Linked DNA regions of Astyanax mexicanus. The protein of the gene in region 2 purifies or fractionates together with the protein of the main gene of each other region. This does not show direct contact. Links are inferred from orthologs where the notes say so. Each region holds a gene or a part of one and is shown on either strand. Other genes may lie near its edges.

The links. Proteins that work in one complex are often made in the same cells at the same time.
Region 1: the proteins of pop7 (region 2) and rpp38 purify together in Homo sapiens (co-immunoprecipitation; 3 studies listed by BioGRID and IntAct, with this or other methods). This does not show direct contact. The link is inferred for Astyanax mexicanus from reciprocal best matches to the Homo sapiens genes POP7 and RPP38.

What each region holds. Positions count from the first base shown.
Region 1 is NC_064408.1:111,996,741-112,003,261, reverse strand, and holds rpp38 (ribonuclease P protein subunit p38), read left to right. Parts: upstream 1-4,858; 5' UTR 4,859-5,089; coding exon 5,090-5,971; 3' UTR 5,972-6,013; downstream 6,014-6,521. Other genes in the region: acbd7 (acyl-CoA-binding domain-containing protein 7), read right to left, coding at 524-535. UniProt on the Homo sapiens protein: Component of ribonuclease P, a ribonucleoprotein complex that generates mature tRNA molecules by cleaving their 5'-ends. Also a component of the MRP ribonuclease complex, which cleaves pre-rRNA sequences.
Region 2 is NC_064415.1:15,412,544-15,420,342, forward strand, and holds pop7 (ribonuclease P protein subunit p20), read left to right. Parts: upstream 1-4,793; 5' UTR 4,794-5,024; intron 5,025-6,105; 5' UTR 6,106-6,141; coding exon 6,142-6,597; 3' UTR 6,598-7,398; downstream 7,399-7,799. UniProt on the Homo sapiens protein: Component of ribonuclease P, a ribonucleoprotein complex that generates mature tRNA molecules by cleaving their 5'-ends. Also a component of the MRP ribonuclease complex, which cleaves pre-rRNA sequences.

The DNA.
Region 1 (6,521 bases), on a different chromosome or scaffold from region 2:
CTATAGATTTTTAAATTACACAGGACCATTAAGGGGTTAAGAAGTACAATCCCTTGGCCGGAGTCTATCTGACCCATTTTCGGCCTGTATTTGGTCACACTAAACCCAGTCTTAATCAGTGCAGCAGGGTCATTATCCCCCCACTGTACATGAGTTTCTATTGTTCAGCTAAACAACCAACAAACAGGCGTACAAACCAGTCTGAAGGCCCATTGTGTTTGTGTGCAGATAATCAGGCTATGGAGGGAGAGAAGTGCAGCTCGCTCACCCCCTCACTACTGCACTCATATGGAGTGACACTGCACACTGAATGGGGTGATAATGACGTCATGGAGCTGATTAACACTATATGCTGGTAAATATATAGTGAATATTATAGCTGTATGATATTATAGTGCAGAATGGGCCTTAGCTACACACACATCCAGCTGCTAACAGGTACCACACACACACACATGCACACACACACAGTACAATACAGGCACAATAAATAAAACATGGAAAAAATACATAAACCACCAACCTGCAGAGTCATTTTCCCAGGCGAGAGAGAGAGAGCTGGAGTATGAGATAGTGAGAGTGTGTGTGTGTGTGTGTGTGAGAGAGAGAGAGAGAGAGAGAGAGAGTGTGTGTGTGTGTGTATTCCTGCTGCGTCTTCTGCACTCAGCGTAGACCTGCTGATGAATTACAGTTTACGGTATCATCGTGCACAGTCGCAGTGTGGCAGCCTGAACGCTGATTGGCTGAGCAGAGAGCCAATCAGAATGAGCCAATCAGCACACAGCATTACTGATGACAGAGGAGCACATGCACACCGAGCCCAGCCACAACATTAAAACCACTGACAAGCGAAGTGTATGCAATTTCTAGCATCAGAGAATTAAACCCAGCCACACCACCCTCCCTTATAAAATAACTACATACAAAATAGGGAAGAGTTCCCAGGAGGCGTGAGTCTCTCATATCAGAAGAAATAATATCATTTAGTTCAAGGATTCATGGAGACTTTATTGTCATTCACATCACATGTGGTACATGAGGTGAACCGAAATTGTACTCTCAGGGTCCAGATACACAGATAAAGAGCGATTGTTAAAATAAAATCAATATAAAGATGAAATAAAATAAGATATAATAAAATAAAATACTAAAATAAAATAAAATAAAATAGATATCAAGATAAATACACAAAATATAAAGGAGAGTAGGAAAGCAGCAGCAACGTGATGTCCAGAGTACATATATATAAACTATATATTTAGTTTTAATTATTTATTTATATTTTTATTTATGCTTTATTATTTTTATTTCCATTTTTATTGTAATTTGTAAAGCACTTTGAATGACCATTGTGTAAGAAAGGTGCAATATAAATAAACTTGCCTTGCCTTTGTAGCATCATAGATAATTATGAATGAAGAGCAGTAACATATTACAAGTTACATAATAGGTGTGTGTGCCAAATCAGATAGGTACACCTGTCCCTCAGGAGATAACACTGTTCAAGACTGTCCTCTCAGCACTGCAAACTAAAAACTCTGAGACACATATTGGGTCTTTCCAATGGACACACCCCCATCTCCACAGAAACACCCTTTAGAGATGCCCTGTTACATTATTTTTTATTGTTCTACCTTATTCTGCACTAATAGTTTATTTATGGTCCACTGTTTACATCTCTACAAATTTGTACAGATAGATTAATATATAACTGTGTATTTGCACATTCTTTTTCTATTTGCAGCGCGTTTTTCTATTTGCAGCGCGTTTTTCTATTTGCTGCGCCTGTGTTGTAATTTTGATGGATGTGTTTTATGCTTTTGCAGGGCTTTTCAATTTGCACTGCGTTGGGCTTTCTCGGCCACCGTAGCACTCTCCATTATGTGCTCTAATTTAAAGTGGGCAATGAAGTCCCCTTACTCTCTAACCTGACCCTGCTCTTTTCTTTGAAAAAACAATTCAATATCTGTGGCTGATACTGAATATCCACACACACACACACACACACACACACACACACACACACAGGACGTATCAGGAGTGGAACATCACCTGTCTCATCACATCTTCTACAATTCTGCACTATTAATTAGCTACTACACATACAGACAGTACTAGTCTAGCACACTGGTTTTAATAAAAACACAAACTGACCAATGAAATGGCAGCCAGCCTCATTCTCCCCAGCAGCACAGAGAGAAAGTGGATTGTACCATTTGTGTGTTGAGGAGAGATTACTTTATTTTTATTCTAGAAATTCTGTTAATGATATACTTTTTTAGTTTGGAAGATTTTTCAGCTTATCTAATTCTGTTTAAATATATATATTTGTTACATTTTAGGAGTGCTTGTTGAATTTAGGGATGCTTGAGCCCCCCTAAAAAGGGGCTAATAATGCCCCAATGGAAATCTCCCAAACCAAAAACCAGCTGGTTGAGCAGCATAGCTCTTGATATTTCTGTTGATCTGCAGGCCAAGCAAAACCATCTGACTAAAACAGAAAGCCAGTATGAGCAAGTTGGCCAGGCTGGTTTGTGTCTAAGCTCAGAGAACACATGGACTGAAGTACAATTTCAGATATGAACATTAAACAATCAATTAATAATCCAAATTAACAAGCTTGTAACACATATTTATTTTATAGTTTTAATCAAATATATATATAAAAAAAACAGGGATTAAACTGCATACTAGTATTCTGAGCCTGGTTTTCCAACAGATTTGTATATGTATATATATATATATATATATATATATATATATATATATATATATATATATATATATATATATATATATATATACATTTAATGATTTAGACTTGGCATCTCCTTCCAACTGCCAAAAGTACCAATTGGTCTTACTCCTATATAATATATACATCTACTGAGATACTGTCTTTTGGCTTTTCATTAGCTGTAACCCATAATCATCAAAAATAAAAAAATAAACACATCAGTTACTGTCTATACTAGTTGTTAATTACTGTATATACAAGTAAATATTATTTCCTGACTTTACTGTTGTTATCTTTGTTGATCAAAGAAGAATAAGGTCCTCTGAGACCTTCTTTCTCTGCAGGTTTATTCTTTCCACTCTGGGGACGCTTTCTCTTCGCCATTATACTGTTGCCAGTGGTTTGCTCATTTGGGGCTTGAACAGAGATCTCTGTAAAAGCTGCTTCATGACAATGTCTTCAGCTTGTAAATAGGGTTGTAAAAGCACATCTATAAACCAAAATCTAATTTTAACTAATTTGACAGTGATATACCAAAAAAAAAAAAACACATCACATGACATATAAACAGCAAATTCTTGTCATTTATGTATTGGTAAAAACGTGTATATACTTTTTTGTACTGTTACTTTATTTTATCCTGTCTAATCACGTGAAATTTAACAACTCATCTTTAATGTGCAACACATAGACAGTAATCATATAAAATTATCATTATCATATAAAACATTTTCAAAAATATACTGCAATGCTTGAAATATGTTTAATTAATTTGTTATGACTAAACATTTCACAGATGTGGGACTAACAAAGGATTATTTTATGTTTATTTGAAAATGCATGATTTTTTTTTCCTTAATATTCTGCAATACAATACTGTAATATTAGAAATACATGTTGGAATAAAAAATGCCTTCTCTTTGTTTTCTCTTTAAAAAAAATGCTTGTGTATATATTCTTCTATTTTCTGTTGGATGTAGTTTATGGATACCGCTATACTGTTTGTATTACATTCCAACAGATACTGTGGGACTAATAAAGGATTATCTTAAGTAGATGAAAATGAACAAACTTGTATATTTCCTAAATACACTGCAATACTGCAATGTTTGAAATACATTTTGTAGTTCATAGGTTTCCATGCATTTTTTTTAAAGAAAGCTTTTCTATTTTTTTAACTGTTTATGGATACTTCTATCTAGTTTCTATAGCTTTGACACTGTGACTTTATTATTCCCACATCTGGGGAATTGTCAGAGGGAAACATGTATTTTTCCTTAACCCCTTTACTGGCCTTTGAATGTATACAGGCTACAAGTGTAGGTGATACAAAATCCTTTTTCTCTGCAGTAAAATAACTTATTTACATTTTAAAGACTATGAGGGCTTTTAGTGTCTACTCCACTAAATAATTCCAGATTAGTAACAGGAATCAACCCAAATTCTGCAGGTTTGAAAGTAAACATAAAATCTAGACAACTGTAACAAAACGAAAGGTTTGGGGGACATGAACTGTTTGATTTGCATTCAGGAAAATAATGATTTTAAAATGATCCAGAAAATCTCGCTATCTTTAAGAGACTCCTGAAAGAGCACTTACTCTCCTAACACCTCTAACACACTAACTACTTCTAACCCCATTTCCTTCTTCCCCTCCTTCACTTCTCTATCCATTTATTTCCCTTCGACCTCCTTTAAGCCCTATCTAAAAATGGGTTATCTAAATTCCTATTACTTTTGTACTTCATTATTGTAAGTCGCTTTGGACAAAAGCGTCTGCCAAATGAAATGTAATGTATTTCTAATACATTTACAATTGGAATTTGTAGAAACGTTTATTATCAAACATGAAATCTTTTTTATGCAATGCTTGAATAGAAATCCTCAAGATTTAGGTATGTAACATTAGGCAGAAAATTTATAAAAATGCTGGCCTGTTACTGAATACTGAAATGCTTAAAATATATTTAAAATACGATTTAAATTGATAAAATACGTTTAAAATATATTTAATATAACATATTAATAAATAATGTGTCCATTATGTGGTAGTGTAGTGTTATATAGACCCTGAACACTAGGGGGCGGTGTGGCTTTTTAACACTCAACGCTCCGAACCAGCATGGCGGCGCCCTGTAGCAGCACACGTGTTCTATAGATAGCTGATGTTATGTTGAGCTCAGTGCACACATGTGAAAGCTTTCTGATCTGATCTGAGGTGGAACATCTCTGAACACCACTGTTCAGAGCACCGAGGCTGTGGAGGACCTTTATAAAGCAGGAGCTGGTTTATATATAAAGTTATTTAGTTTGTTTTAGTATCTGTGGCCACGCTGGAGTTATGAGAGCAGGATGAGCACTCCGGGAAAAGCAGCAAAGAAGGAGAAAAAGAAGCCCATCCCTGTGAAAACCTCTCTAAACAACCCTTACGATCTCAGATGGGCTCCTCTGGAGAAGGGCCAGAAGGCATTTATTCTGAACTGCCTCACAGAGACGATAGAAGCTCTGGGGCTTAAGAAGATCCAGGTACGAGTGAAGGGGCTCCGCAGCAGCAGGAGGAGGAAATCCAAGCAGCGGGACTCGAAGCCCCCCGAAGCCGAAAAAACTGCTCGGCAGCCAGGCTGGAGCGACGAGGCCTCCCGGAGGCAGCTGGCCATCGGCATCAACGAGGTGACCAAAGGCCTGGAGAAGGATGAGCTCAGCCTGGTGCTGGTGTGCAGCTCCATCAGGCCAGCCCACATGATCAGCCACCTCATCCCCCTCAGCAGAACCAGGGCGGTGCCGGCATGCCAGGTGCCCGGCCTCAGTGAGGGTCTGTCTGGGGCTCTGGGTCTCAGCAGCGTGCTGGCACTGGGCTTCAAACGAGGAGACACCGCCTTCTCCAACACAGTAGGGGAGATAGCCTCCAAGGTCCCTCCCCTCTGTGTGCCCTGGGTGCCCACTGAGAAGGAGCCAGCCAGGCTGGAGGACCAGAGCCTGGGAGGAGACCCCCATCCTGGTCCTACTGATACTGGAGATCTTACTGGAGATCCTTCAGATCCAGTTAAGACTGAAACGCAGACTGAGGAGCCCCCCTCAAATCCACCAAGGGGTCAAAAGAGGAAGCTTGACCTTTCACATGAGCCTGGACAAGACCCAACCCCAACACTTCAGCCTCTCAAAGTCAAGAAAACCATCCCAAACCCATCAAAAATCCGGAAACCCAAGAAAAAGAAGGCATCAGCTCAGAAGTGACAGTCTGAAAGAAACAATTGCACAATTGCTTTTTTTTTTATTCATTGGACAAATCATAAATCATTGTAAAGACATTTAGGATGAGTTGATGTGAAAAGGTGAACATGTAAAGATTCCAAGAAATGCAGCCAAGAAGGAGAAAAAGAAGCCCACCTTTGAGAAAACCTCTCTACACAACGGTTACGACTTCAGATGGGCAGATGAAATGGTGAAAATGTAAAGTCTCAGCAAACAAATGTTACATGTAGAATTAGAATTGTACCCATTATTATTTGTATTTGAATTATATTTGCACTGGCATTACAAAAAAGCAAGCATTGTCTAGGACTTAATCTCATCTCCATGCCTGTGCCTTTACAAACATATAATAGTTTTCTTTAGATATTGCTTTGTCTATAAACAATGCTGTATGTCTCTTAAAATGCAATTAGGGCTAAAACCTTGTTATAAAACCGGTTCAGCAATGTTTTGTCACAATTTCCTTTGTAAAAAATATCAAGCTCTTCAGATGTCTTGTGTTCACCACAACACTGTGAACAGTTCTGTCTCA
Region 2 (7,799 bases):
GTTCTTTAACTTTTACTATTTAGGCCTTTTTGTAGGGGGGATTCCAGGTTTGCAGCCATTCAATTAAAGGCCAGTCGCCCTCAGGTACCTTTAAAGGCTGGCACTAAGCATCCGGAGTGTGAAATGTGGCTGTGCAGCAGGCAGGAGGCCAACAGCAGCGTTTATTCAGTGAAAGCGTGTTGATGTGAATGTGCGATGGCGGCCTATCAGGGGCAGCTTATCTATCCATGCCGCTGCTACATTTGGCTTCGCGTAATCCACTACAATGGTACAATGCAGTTGGGAGACAGTGTTTCCCTTCATATTTAAGAATTAATATAAGGATTAATTCTGAAAAAAGAAATGGATGTGCATACTGACAGAGCTTCGGCTAAGACAGGCTAACAATCCCAATACAAACCTCTGTATACGGACAGGAAGAAAAGAATAGAGTTTAAATTGGATTTGATTTATAAATTAGTCTTTCCACCTTAAATGGTGCGGCAATTAGCTACATACATGGACAGACACTGTAACGTTGCCAGCTGCTGCAGAATTTAAGGTGGAACGGAAAGTTGGAAAAAAAAAATAGGAAGTAGAAGCACACGAAAGAGAGTTAGAGAAGGTGATAGAAAGAGACCACATTTTTTTTTTCAACATAAAACTTTTAATACATTTAAAACAAGTAAGTTAACTACATAGTTACTCAGCTAGGACAGCTGCCTTTCTCGTTATATTAAGGTTACACATTCATATAAGAAAAAAAGAAATGGCTGTGCATATCGACAGAGCTTTGGCTAAGATTAGGTAAAACAGCTCCAATACAAACTTTTGTATACGGAGAGTAAGATAAAGTAGATTGGATTAAAGTAAATTGGATTTGACTGATTAATTAGTATTTCCACCTTAAATGGATCGGCAGTTCAAAGCCTGGACAGACTGTAACGTATCTAGCTGCTGCAGAATTTAAGGTGGAAAAGAAAGTTGGAATAAGGAACTGAGCAAAAGAAGCACACGAGAGAGAGAGAGAGAGAGAGAGAGAGAGAGAGAGAGAGAGAGAGAGAGGTGTATTCGCATGTGAGCGTATTTCTGTATTTAGACCACATTTCTTTTTTTAAAACAAAAAAAGTAAATCATTCAGAGAGTGGACAGACCATAAAATATATACATTCAAAACAAGTTAACTCAGTTACCTAATTAGCTACTTAGGCTCGTCATATTTAGGTTAATAATTAATATAAAGAAACTAACAGCTTCCACACAAACATCTGTATACGGAGAAGAAGATGACGTTTAGTTTTAAATAGATTGGTCTTATAACTACTCGTTCCACCTTAAATTGTGCAGTTGTTAGTTATATTTTGTAATACACTAACAGCTAGGTAGGTTGGCTGCTGAAGAATTTAAGGTGGAACGAAAAACAAACTGAGCAAGCAGATGCAAACGAGAGAGAGAGAGACTGAGAGAAGGGGGCGGTGTATTCGCATGTGTATGGGAGTTCCTGTATTTAGAGCAGCAAGACCATGTATTCTCCACAAATGTAACTTTTCAACATCAAAAATGTACATTTTAAAACAAGTTAGCTAGCTAACCAAGGATGGTTACTCTGGGGCAATAAGCTATGCTTGTCTGTAGCGCTGCTTGGATACAGTATTTAGGTTAGGTAGTTAGCAAACCAAGCTAAGCTAACTAGTTAGCTAGCTAGTTAGGTTTGTTATTGGACAACACATTCAAACCTTAAATTAAATCTAACTACACAGTTAGTGTACACACCCTCCACAGTGGTACACACTCCTCATTTCCCCACCTTTCCCCTTGTTGTTTCACAGACCACCCGTCCTACTGAACTCCTCTGCTCACCGTGGCCTTCAACCATGGCCAAAGCTCAGTCAGCTACAAACACAACCCCCACCCCCTTTACCTAGCCAGCTTGAAAAGCACCAACGCCGTCTCCATTATCCACACCCCCTTAGCCTTAGACAGGGCTTTGCTATTTAGCTTACCGCCTTCTTCATGCCAATGTTAGCCCACTGCACGGATGACAGGAAGACCCCAGAGTGCTCCACCAAATCTGTAACAGATCTAGCTAGCTAACCTAGCTAATTTAGCTTAGCTAGCTAACCTAGCTCTCTCATACCAGCCAACCCAAAAACATTCAAGGAGAGGAGGGGCTCTCTCTCACCTTAATTTCTGGAGCTAGAGATGCGTATTATTTCCAGTCGTCTGGGCTCCTGCGCATGTGACCGTGTGGTCTCTGGCTGCCGACGTGCTTGTCCTCAATAATCGCGTTATAATCCGCATCAAACCGCGTGTAATATGTACATAAAATGTGTCCTGCTCTCTCTCTCTCCGACGCTGCGCTGCTGCTAGCTCGTCTGCTCGCTACTCTTGTTGTTTGTGTTTTAGGAAGATGGCCGTTCTGCTCGGCGGAGACCACGTGACTCCGTGGCGACTGACTGGAGTAACATATGAAACCTGTCTGAGGGGGGTTGCAGCGCCCCTGGCGGCGTGTGCAGGCAACTACACGTGGTCACATATTCATTATCAAGGAAAGTTAATTTTTATTGTCAATACTGCATATTAGAGGTGTGCCAAAAAATCGATTCACATAAGAATCTTGATTCTCATTTACTACGATTCAGAATCGATTTAAAATGTCCCAAAATCGATTCTGAGGGGCGGGTTTTAGACTGATTTTGGGCTGGGTATTTTTGTTGGACCTGGCAACCCTGGGGATAGCGCTTGTCCTTTCAAACGGAGATCTTCCAGACACACACAGAGCGTAGGTGTTTGAGAATCACCGGTAAGATGGCAGAACAAGCACTATATTACATTAGATTAACGTGTAGTTTCAATGTTTTATGGCAGAATGCTTCATAACAAGCATAAAAAAGATCGCTAGTAGTTAGTTTCAGTAACTGTTAGCTAGCTAACTAGCTAACTTTCCAGTTCCACCTTAAATAACGCTACAGGTGGCAGCGGGCTGCAGCATTTAAGGCGGAACGGAAAAATACAATAAGCTAATCAGAGCTAATTTCAGCTCCTCATCACAGAGGAATTAAGGAATGGACCATATGAATTAATTTCTCCACCTCCTGCCCCCTTTCTGAAGAAATACAACGACCTTAAATTAACTAGTTAATCAGCAGCTGCTCCTGAACTTTAGCGCTCCACTGCTATCATCACATCAGCCCAGCAGCGTCACCTACACACCACCGCTAGTAGCCTGGTAATAAAGCAGTGTTATTTATTATTTATTTATTGTTCATTAACGTCATTGTGATATCCCAGTGATTCCTCTGTCACTGAGGACCCACATTCCTGCACATTTTATTGTTTTTGTAACACATTACCTGCTCCAGGACCAGTGTATATTATGGAGGGTTTTTTTTCAATAAGATTCATAAGCCAGAAGCAGAAATTTTTATAATTCAAATCGTTTTGAATCAAAAATCGATTTTGAATCGAATCGTGGCCCCCAAAATCGGAATCGAATCGAATCGTGAGATAGTAAACGATTCCCACCCCTACTGCATATGGACAGGACATACAGAGGATTAAAATTACGTTACCATCCTTCCCAAAGTTACAACAGGTACAGCAGAATAAAATTATAAATATAAAAGAATGAGACACTAATACTAATACTAGTACAATACAACAAGGCCAGATATATAGACATACGTGAGACAAGAGTTCAAGTTTAAGTAAGAGTAGACAAAAGTACAGAAATATAATATTATAAATAATAAAAGAATGACACTAATTGTACAATACAGCAAGGTCACATATACAACTTAAAAATTATGGGTTTTTTTTGCCTTTACCAAATTGAAAAACTCTGGAATATAATCAAGAGGAAATGGACGATCACAAGCCATCAAACCAAGCTGAACAGCTTGAATTTTGCACCAGGAGTGGCATAAAGTTATTCAGAGGCAGTCTGGAGGGGAACATGCCAATGTGCATTAAAACTGTGATTAAAAAAACAGGGTTACTCCACCAAAGATTTCTGAATTCTTAAAACCTTATGAATATGAACTTGTTTTCTTTGCATTATTTGAGATCTGAAAGCTCTGCATCTTCTTCTCATTTTCTGCAGTATGATTTATTTTTTTTTTTTTGGAATTTGGAAGAAATGTTGTCTGTAGTTTACAGAATAAAACAAAAATGTTAATTTTACTCAAACATCTACCTATAAATAGCAAAATCAGATAAATTGATTTAGAAACTGAAGTGGTCTCTTAATTTTTCCAGAGTTGTATAGACACACGTTAGACAAGAGACACACAATAGTGCAATATAAAATGACAGTGTACCAGTTGGTTTGAAAGGGGTGGGGGGTCACAGTCGTAGGGGGAATTAAGTGGCTATGATTGATCAGTGCAAGTATAGGCAGTAGTGCAGGTTTGGGGTGTGTGAGTGCATATCAGTTCCTGAAAAAGACTTCCACTACTGTTTTGATTCAAGTACTATGTTCCAGTATTGTGTTGATAAGAGTGCGGTCAGAATTGACCAGATTTTAGCTGGTATAGTGAACAAGTGCATAATGCACATTCTTTCAATTGCACAGTTGTAGGGATAATTAAAGTGAGTATGACAGTGCAAGTATAAGCAGTAGTGTCAGTATGGGTATGTGAGAGCACTGTATTACATATATTACATGTATTAGAATATAATCAGGTGCTCTGCTCTAGGGGAGCGAGCGACCGCTGATCTATAAGACATGTGCGCCACGCGGTAATTAGGCGCATTGCCGCTGAATCCCCATCACACTGCTTATACATCTGTACAGAGCGCGTCGTAGGCGCAGGTACTCAAACAGAGACGGCTGTTTGAATGGCGATTTGCTCCACCGGGTAACATTTTACATTTACAGCTGTATGTCTGTGACTCACTGGTTGTTTTGCAGTCACTATTTTACTATTTTAAATACAGACGTCCCTAAACACACGAGAGACAGACATCACTTCCGGTAAAAAGCTGGTAACACATCCGGCATCTTCTACAGTGAGGCGGTGTGACGAGCCCCCAGAGCAGAGCAGGTACCTGTTTATTACATTGTTTTTGAATGTTTATTTGAATCAGAATCTGCAATTAGGTGTACGATGTTGCAGGTTGATTCAATGTAAAGAGCGAGAACTGGAGTGTAGTCTATATTCCACGTGTTTAGACTCCTCGCCATGCTTTCCAGTGTACGGGTGGGTGGTCAGTGAGTGACAGACTAGCTAGTCCTTCAGTCCTTCAGCAAACACTGAAATACACCCTATTTAATATCATACACGAGATAGCCTCACAACTAACAGCTAGCTAACACTGCTGCAAAGACTGCTGCTTAAGATGGTGATTCTGGTTAGATTAGGTTGTGGTGGAAAGGCTGATTGATCATGTTTCTGTGACAGAGGATGTTTTTTTTTATAGATTTTTGCTGTCTGTCTATCTGTCTATCTCTCTCTCTCTCTCTCTCTCTCTCTCTCTCTCTCTCTCTCTATGTATATATATATATATATATATAAGGAAAGGCTGATTGATCATGTTGTATGTCACAGGATGTTTTGCCATCCATCACTTATTTTTATCCCAACCTTCTCTAGTAGAATTGTCCCTGTGTTCACTGTGGCATTGTTTCGATAAGCTTCTGTAATGTCACAAGATTTATTTTAATCCAGTACCCAAAGCCTTCTTCAGCACATCCCAAAGATTCTCAATGGAGTTAAGGTCTGGACACTGTGGTGAACAATCCATGTGTGAATATGATGATCTCATGCTCCCTGAACCACCCTTTCACAATTCCTGCCCAATGAATCCTGGCATCATATTATTTTACTCCAACACTGGATATATTGAGAGCATTGTTAGTATCATTACATGTTGTATTGTTCACTTCAATTAGGGATTTTTTTGTTTTCATATCAACAAGAACATAATTGCAAAAGCTCCCAGAATATCCCACCCCACCCAGGCCCACTCCATCTAAATATTTATTGTTTATCTAATGGTAAATTTAATATACATCTTCTTTGATATTAAATGTTTAATTGTCAGTACATGTGTGGATTAGGAGTAAACAATACTTTTTAAAAAGACATTGTTAATCGTTAAATTGCTCTATGTTTCCATTGTCAGATTTAATCTCTGCTGATCCTCTTCAGAAGCCCCGAGATGGCAGATCCACGAAGTCAAGTCCCAGGTTCGGTGTCTCAGAACCCACTAGGTTTTTCAACACCTGAGGGCAACACTGTTGAGATGGACCCAGTGGAATACACCCTCCGCAAACGGCTGCCCAGAAAGCTGCCCAAGAGACGCAACGATGTATACATTAACATGAAGACCGACTTCAAGGCCCAGCTGGCCAGGTGTCAGAAACTGCTGGATGGCGGTGCTGGTCACAAGGAAATCTGCATCCACGGTCTGGGACTCGCCATTAACCGGGCCATTAACATCGCACTGCAGCTGCAGGCTTTCAGCCAGGGGGCACTGCAGCTGGCTGCGAACACCTCCACGGTAGAGCTAGTAGACGATCTGGAGCCAGAAGACCCAGATGAAGCTGGAGAGCCACTAACACGAACAAGGAACAACTCGGCTATCCACATTAAAGTGTTTTACCCCAATGCTTAGAAAGTTACAGTCAGCTACACAAAATCAAATATTATTAAAAAGGGAAAGAAGGAAATCCATCACCATAGAGGGATAATCTGACCTTTAATTTCATTAATAGCTACTGAATGTTAAGACTTTTCAATTGAATCATTTGGGATTAAATTCTTAAATAATACATGGCTTGGATGTGCAGTTTAAGGACAGTATTAAAAATATTTTTTGAGAGCCTTTACATAATGTGAAGATCAGTAAAAACAAATTCTGTCAGCACTTTATTTGGCCAAAAAAGTTTTGAGATATGTTTAAGGGTGCGAAAGATTAATATTTCTAAAATGCAAATCAGTTTGTGTCCCTATATATTTTTTGGGTTATTTTGCCAAGTGAAAGAACCTAGGAGTTGTTCACACATCTAAATTGGAATCAGTAAATCGATTAGCCCTGATATGAGAGAGCCTGGTATGGAAGTAGCTGACCCAATATTATATTCTACCCACTTGTCTTCTTATGGCACTGGAGGAGAACATTAGATCAGTGCTTTGATGTATGTCTGTGAAACTGCTCATGAGGTCATTCATATGTGTAGGTGTTTGATATTTTGATAAAACTTGAAGAAAATAGAACATTTTGTATTAATGTGCTGTCCACAAGTACAAAATATTATTTAAGGTGCCTATGCATGTTGTTGTATTGTCTGAAACAGTTTGTGTTCGTTTGTGAACATACTATATTTTTAAGTCTTATTTTCACTGTTTGAGAAGCATATTCAGATTTATTTTCTGATGTATATGTGTGTAAATAAAACACTAACACATGCTTGCATATCGTTTGTGATATTTTTTTAGCTTGTGCTGTCCACTTGAGGGCAGTATAGCGTCTATTATTTTTGCAAGAATACAGATGCTTGCATCTGTCCAGTGTCTTTACCCCTCGACTTATGGTGTGCATAGTCTTTAAGAGCACTAGAAGCTGGACTGGATTGATTTACACAGTCATGGCCGTTTTGGCCCCCCAACGTGTTTCCAGAAAAAAGATATTTTTTCCAAAAAAATCTTCTTTGTGTGTATTAAAAACAGAAAAAGCCAAAATGTATTATTTCACAAAGAATTACAAAATAGGGCCAGACACAATTATTTGCACCTTTTTAAAATAATGCTCGTTTACATTCACGTGTGGCCAGTAACAGGTTTGGGCACAATACAATCATACGAATAGAAAGTAGA